Saccharomyces cerevisiae S288C: one gene and its partner. The gene in region 1 interacts genetically with each later gene. Each region holds a gene or a part of one and is shown on either strand. Other genes may lie near its edges.

The links.
Region 2: mutations in YHR138C (region 1) and TEL2 together harm fitness more than expected from each alone (negative genetic interaction), as found in Saccharomyces cerevisiae (2 studies listed by BioGRID).

What each region holds. Positions count from the first base shown.
Region 1 is NC_001140.6:376,712-379,766, forward strand, and holds YHR138C (uncharacterized protein), read right to left. Parts: upstream 989-3,055; coding exon 644-988; downstream 1-643. Other genes in the region: ARO9 (aromatic-amino-acid:2-oxoglutarate transaminase), read left to right, coding at 1-539; SPS100 (Sps100p), read right to left, coding at 1,508-2,488.
Region 2 is NC_001139.9:685,670-690,546, reverse strand, and holds TEL2 (Tel2p), read right to left. Parts: upstream 2,649-4,877; coding exon 582-2,648; downstream 1-581. Other genes in the region: GTPase-activating protein MDR1, read right to left, coding at 1-302; ESP1 (separase), read left to right, coding at 3,089-4,877. UniProt on the Saccharomyces cerevisiae protein: Part of the TTT complex that is required to stabilize protein levels of the phosphatidylinositol 3-kinase-related protein kinase (PIKK) family proteins. Required for telomere length regulation and telomere position effect.

The DNA of each region.
Region 1 (3,055 bases):
TGCAAAAAATCTTGGATTTGGCCGACATTACTACAAGGGCCCCCAGTGGTACCTCACAAGCTATTGTTTATTCTACAATAAAGGCAATGGCTGAGTCCAACTTATCGTCCTCTCTTTCTATGAAAGAAGCAATGTTTGAGGGTTGGATAAGATGGATAATGCAGATTGCTTCTAAATACAATCATAGGAAAAATCTTACTTTGAAAGCCTTATACGAAACAGAATCTTACCAAGCTGGTCAGTTTACCGTTATGGAACCCTCCGCGGGTATGTTCATCATTATTAAAATCAATTGGGGGAATTTCGATAGACCTGACGATTTGCCGCAACAGATGGATATTTTAGATAAGTTCTTGCTGAAGAATGGTGTTAAAGTAGTGCTTGGTTATAAAATGGCTGTTTGCCCAAATTATTCAAAGCAGAATTCAGATTTTCTAAGACTCACCATCGCCTATGCAAGGGATGATGATCAGTTGATTGAAGCTTCCAAAAGAATCGGTAGTGGCATAAAAGAATTTTTTGACAACTATAAAAGTTGAACAGTGAAGATTAAACCTATGTGTTATTTGCATATCATATATAAATTGTAGTTTTTTGTATAAAAGTTGGGAAAAAGTTATAGTCGCGTATATTTTAAATTACTCTAAGCAACTAAATGGTCACGGTTTAGAGCATGAACTTCTGAATCCTTTTCCAAATTGCATTTAGCACCGTACTCGCTTTCAATATAGCTCAAACGTTCTTTCAGACCGTCCAAAATTTGGTCGCTATCAGGTAAGTCCACTGTAAAGCCCTTTATCAAGCTATATTCGTGTGTTATTTTACCCCCTATGTCCACCACATATTTTTTGACATCTTCAATAATGCTATTCTGGTCCGTAGCCATATTATCCGTCTTGGGGAAAGTTACGATGTATGATGATAAGGAAGATGCCTGTGCCATGGAGAATATGCTAATGAAAATCAAAACTAAGTAACTGGCCTTCATATATATGCTATAGTCTGTTACACAATAGATTTAAATGTTGTAATATAACGAGGAAACGCAACTTATCCATTTGTTCTCTCCATCGCATCGCTTTTTCTTAAATACTTTTGCCCCCCACCCCTTTATCCACTTGCGTTTTCCTCTTTTCTTCGCCTCTTTTTGGTAGCGCCGACCGATCTAATCGGAATAATCAAATTTAATAGGAACTGAATATTAGAAATTATTGAAGTCAATATACTGTAAAAACTATAAATCCTGTAACGAACATAAAAAAAGAAAACATAAAGGAAGCGCGTGATGTATCAGTAACATCACATAGTACAATAAAAAAGAAAGAGAACACTGATAATAACTGTACTGAAGACAAACAATTAGGAAAGTAACGACGATCTTTCTTTCGTCCAGTCATCATAACAATATGTGTTTTTGTTTTTGTTTTTGTTTTTGTTTTTGTTTTTGTTTTTGTTTTTATTTTATTTATTTTTTGCTTATTTTCGTAGTACACAACACATAATCATCTTATTGTTGACTAACAGGGAAGATTTGTTGTAACTCGCTACTACTTGTGACTTGATTATGGATAGCAATAGACAACAAAGTTTGCGCTTGGATTGGTGACAAGTACCCAGCAGAAATTGCACCTTGTGGAATACTTGTGTTACTTATGAACCCAATTCCTGAACCATCATGACCACTGGATCCATCACTTGCATAAACGACAGGGAAGTCGACCGATGTCCATGATGCCACGGTACTGTTGTGACTTGTACCAGAGCTGACAACAACCAAACCTTGGATACTAGAACTTAGTGATTGAATTAAGCTTTGAGAATATCCTTCTTCGTATATAATTGGAACCAATGGACTGGAGGATGATGAGGATGTATTGGTCCCGGAGGAGGCATTAGAAGATATTTGTGCGCTCGTAAAATTCGAGTATTGAGTTCTGATTGTGGAGTTGCTGGCAATCAGAGTTGGCTCACAGGCATCAAAGAACCATTGAACATTCTTCTGACCAGACAAAACGCCCACAGGAACAGTGTAAGGAGGGAAAACACCAGAATACACAACTTTATCTCTACCGGCAACCAAAGTGCCTCTACCTTCCGCGTCCGAACTACTCAATATTGGTACACCCCATAAGAAATTCTCAGTAATGACAATGGTCTTTGATGTATTAAAAACGATTGAGCAGAAGAAACTCAAAGTTTCAATGGAACGCCAGTTTGTGACGATTATAATGCCGGAAGACGATTCGCTTTGTAAAGTCTGATTAACTTGAGTAGCAATTTGGTAAAGTTGAGTGATGTTTAAGGTGGAAGTAGAGTTGAATAGCGTTGTGGTAGTAACGTTTGACTGGCTACCAGATACAGCAGGTCCACCCGTGATGATCACGGGGACCGTACCGCCGCCAGAAGTAACGTTCTGCCTCTTGTAAAGTGGTGTTGCAGAAGCTGTTAAAGTTGCAAGAAAAAATGCTAGCACTGATGTGAATTTCATAATAGCTGATTGGGTTCTTAGATGTGAAAACTGATCGAAATCAAATACTAGAGCATGATTGATAGGAACAAGAGAAACCAAAAGTGTTTTTAGCTTTCCTCCCAATTTTTATAGTATTCTAATGAGTAACGTCTTAGGGGAATTTTCAACAAGGCATTTCTAAAAGGGGATGCTAGTTGCACATTCTGAGAGAATCATTTGTACACGTTTTTCCCTATTTTCTGCTCATAAACCGAGGATCATCAGCGTTAAATGTAATTGCTAAGCCAAGAACTTTTGCTACTCTAACATTACATATTTGAAGGGTACAGTGAGATTCCCCAACAGGAATTCGCTTCTGTACATCAGCCGGTATTCGCTGAGAACTACTGTAGCCCTTAACTGTTGAATGATCTTTTTCTGGTAGATCATCGGCTTCTTTTGACGCAGGAAAAGGCCCGTGTCACTTCGGCTTAGCTTCTTTCGGCGATTTTCAAGGGAAGCGTCTGCACCTTAACGCAGACAAATGACGCATGATATGCACCCTTAAGGCGGACTTGATCTTCAGATCCCTCAAATGGTAAATGT
Region 2 (4,877 bases), on another chromosome or scaffold:
ACGCACGATGAATGATCAAATGCATCTCGAAATACCAGAAAATGAGGTGTTAAAAACAATCTCCCGGAATACACATAAGCAGTTTTTCTCCCTTTATTGTTCACTCTATCAGAATGCCCTTTTCCATCTTTAATGGAAGTTGCAAATGAAACTTCTGCATTCGTATCTTCCAAAATGTTTTCATTAGCTGGAAGTTTATATTTTAATCTGAATTTCTCATCTCTGGTTAATGTTGGAGTGAAACTGTCTGCCAGTTTATCCAAAAAGGGTGCCTTTTGACGTAAAGAATCAAAAAATGACATATCCTATCCTTTAACTAATAATTGTATCAACTCTGAGGTTGTTCGGTGCTTTAATTGATGGATCAGTGCTTTCAAAATGTACAATTTCTTAAATGTTGTTGGGCCCTTACCAAGCAGATTTGTTCAGGCCTTTTCTTATTGAAGTTCTTTTTCCCAGTTGCAGGAGTCGGCCGACCTTCTGAAATAATATGCTGTGCATTAAATACTAACGACGCTGACAGAGAACGCACTAAATTTATTCAAATATGTATCATAAGATTGGTACAAATAACTATGCTACTAACCTTTATTGAGAGAAATTCCTTCCTCTATGGCTGAACTAATTATATGATTCATCAACTCCGTCATGGATTCAAAATCGTGGACCGGGTTAGCGCAAGAGTATATGATACGCAGTGTTGTTAAATAATGCGACTTAAAAAGCTGATTGTATGTGCCTACGTCAATTCCATTAAGCCAACCGTGTGCTAGCGGATAGAAGAATAGACCAGCATATTTTCTAAAGCGGTTTTGCGTTCCTTTTTCTCGATCCTTGCCTAGTTTTCTAGATTTCCATACTGTTTTCGTCTTCTTTATCATACTTGTTGACTCTTGAACTTCAACAAGCCTACTATTATGATGGCTTTGATCATCCCACGGTAAACGATTTGTTGGAAAATCAAACTTGGGCTTGACAATAGTAGGATCATCAAGCCCTCTCAACTCTCTTGCAGAAAGACCCAGAGCCGACAATAGTGACATCCTTTGCTGTAACGACAGTTCTGAATTGAATAGAATATTTATAGCGCCATTCACCTTCTCTGGAAGGACGACCAGTATGCTTGTTAGAGCGTTTATTCTCCACTGCTCGAAAAGCGGTTCATCAAATTCATTATTCAAGCACACAATGCTTGACAGAATACCTTGTGCATAATAGCCAACCTCTAACTGAAAATCCGCCTTTTGCCGTATCAATTTCACTGTTTGCTTCAGAAGTGGTATCAATGGAGCTTTTCGAGATTCCCCAGTTTTTTCGTATTCTTTCATTAAATCTTTTAAAAATACAATTCGTTTAACAATCTCCCGCTCATCGTTCTCATCTTCATCATCGCTATCACTGCAGTCCAATGTAAGGCTTTGAACATGACCCGAGACCTCAGTAATCTTATCCTTACCCACATCAGTTTGGGTATTGCATATGGATGGATTTTTTAAAGATTGGAAATCAATGATTTTATCATCGCTATTGCTTTCGAATTTGACATTCGGTATATTGATTTTAAAATCACTTTCGTACTTCAGATGACCGCCTGATAAAAGCTTGGCAATAAACATCGCACGCTCCCTTGCCTCACGTTCATTGCTACCTAAATGTTTGGTCACGCCATTCAAAAACCGCTCATCGTGTGCTATTTCCTCTCTCTGGGAATGATTGAGATTGTGCACTGCAAAGAGTACAAGCAATTCACATGTCTTTGTGTCTACTTCCTCATCTGTAAAATCAGCAAATTTACTTACCAAAGCGCTAACAAACTTCGTGGAAGAGTGGTTGCTCATCAGACGTACTATCACTTCCTTCAATGGCAGCGACTGTATTTCAAATAATACGGACAGACTTATGATTTTATCGAGATCAAACCGCCGCAGAATTTTCCTAACATCGTTCAAATTTTCTAAAGTCACGATAACTTGAATATATGGTAATAAAAACTTAGCAATCAGCCTCTTTTGATCTATCAGACTACTAGCAGATATGATTTTCTGAAAAGAAAAGAAATACGACTCTTTCAATAAAAATAATTCGCCTAATAACATATCTGCCGCTAGCACTGGGTTAAGCAAAAATGATGAAACTAACCATTCCCCTAAAAACCCAGGTGGATCTGTTTCATTACTCTCAAGTAGAAATTTCCACTGAAGCCGAAGGTATCCCAAATATTTCGCCATATCAATTCGGTTGGCCAACACATTAAATAACTTGCTCCCAAAGAAAAGGGCCTTAATGCTATCACGGTCTGCTTTGCTAGTAGTGCTTGCCTTTAAATAAAAAGTCAAACATCCCGGTTCAAAACTGATGATGTCTTCTAAAATTTCTTGGTATATGCGTATCTCTTGCAGTCCATCGCGGCCACTTATTGTCCTTGAGAAGGTGACAATTTGGCATAAAAATGTAAACGATTTAGAAGCTAGCCGTCTCAATATCACCTTCGATCTTTCTGGTAGTGATGGATAAACTGGAATTACGAATTTTATGAGAACCATCGAGGCATCTAGATCCACCGGTTCGCGAGGATAGGAATCTAGTTGTATTAAAGCTTCATGTATTTGACTGCTGTCAAGCCCTTGTTTCAGCGTTTCTAAAACCATTTCATGAGGAATTAAATGCGTATAAAGTAGCTCGATTCACGTTCTATTAGCGGCAACCTGTCCACAAGTACTTATTGTCTGCATTTCTTGGTGTTTGTTTTTATTTTCTTTCTTTTCAAACTTCACGGGTCTTTACAGAAAAGAGGTAAACAAACAAAAACAAGAACATGGATACAAAGCCCATCCACGTAACATTGCGCATTTGAAGCGAGAAGCTTACCACAATTAGTTAAATTCCTTTTGGAGGAATATAGACACTCTATCATCAGAAACATCCGAATTATTTTAGTTAGGACACGTTTCACAGGAGCATCTGGCTATAGCATATTTTTCTTTTCCTTCTAACTGCGAGCATAGTAAAAAGTTGACCTAAACCCAACATTTTTGAGGCTAACCTAGTAATAATTTAACCTAGGCACGAAGTGCTTATAAATTAAGGAATGATGGTAAAACAGGAGGAACCGCTGAATGAGATTAGTCCGAATACTCCGATGACTAGCAAGTCCTACCTTTTAAACGACACGCTTTCGAAAGTACATCATAGTGGCCAAACTAGACCACTGACCTCGGTGTTGTCTGGAGACGCCTCATCCAATTCTATTGGCATACTAGCAATGCATAATAACATAATACGTGACTTTACAAAAATTGCAAGCAATAACATAGACTTAGCCATTGAGGATATTACCACTGTTGACCATTCATTAAATTCAATATATAGCCTATTGAAGAGCCATCACATGTGGGGCCATATAAACTCCACTGTTAAACAACATTTGATGATAATTGTTAAACTAATAAATAATAACGCATTAGGATTGGCCTCCTCTGAAATTATTTTTCTTTTCAATGAAACGAATTTATTTCAAGCTCATAGTCTGAAAAACATTCTTCTAGCAGACTTCAGTACGTGGAACGACTACTATCTTTCAAATCTGAAAATATTAGCGCTGCAGATTATACTGAAAAGAAAGCTAGTAGACGAATACTTACCGCATATATTAGAACTATTTTCCCATGATAAAAGATATCTTTTGAAAGACCCTAACCTCAAAGCTCACGCTCTCACAAAAATCGTGCTGAGCTTTTTTTCTGTCACGACGAGTTGCAAAGTTCTATTCGGGCTAAAATTTCTACAATATATCAAACAGTTCAAATTACCTTTTAAAAAGTTCATTAGCAACATTACCGTCGAGTGTTTTAGCAAAAACCTTCTTCATAAAAATTATTTGGAGATGGGACCTAATAAAATATATTTAAATTCATTTTACTTATCCTATTCCATGCTGTACGATGGATTGGATAAAATAATGCTTCTAGACATTTTAAGTTACGAAGAAACTACTGAGGTACAAAGAGCGATAAAAAGTAAAAAAGAATTCAATGAATACTGCAACATGAGTGAAAACCGTCTTCTCTGGTCCTGTATATCTGTCGATGATTTGAACGTAATACTCGAAAATGCAACGAATTTTCTACAAAATAAAGGGAAACATATATCCGCAACATTAAAATGTTTAGTCTGTCTTTGGTCTACTATTCGCCTAGAGGGATTACCTAAAAATAAGGATATATTGAGGCAGTTTGATTGTACTGTTATTTATATCAACTCAAATATTAAATCCATTAATGACGAATCTGCGGCGGCATTATTATCCGAACTTCTGGGAGTTTTATCAGAAATTTGTATCGATTATAAAGAGCCTAAACGACTGTCAAATATTATCAGTGTCCTTTTCAATGCTTCTGTTTTATTTAAGAGTCATTCGTTTTTGTTAAAGACTGCTAATTTGGAAATCTCAAATGTTTTAATCAGTAATGATTCAAAAACATCTCATCGTACTATACTGAAATTTGAAAAATTTATATCTAGTGCTCAGAGTGCCCAGAAAAAAATTGAAATCTTTTCCTGTTTGTTCAATGTATATTGCATGCTACGAAATGATACGCTATCATTTGTTTTTGACTTTTGCCAAAATGCATTCATTCATTGCTTTACACGCCTAAAAATCACAAAATTCATCGAGTTTTCAAACAGTTCAGAAATTATGCTTTCAGTACTGTATGGAAATTCATCTATCGAAAACATTCCTTCCGAAAATTGGTCACAACTAAGCAGAATGATATTTTGCTCACTGAGGGGTATCTTTGATTTGGATCCTTTAGAGCTAAATAATACGTTTGATAAATTACACTTGCTCAACAAATATGAGCTATTAATACGAATAG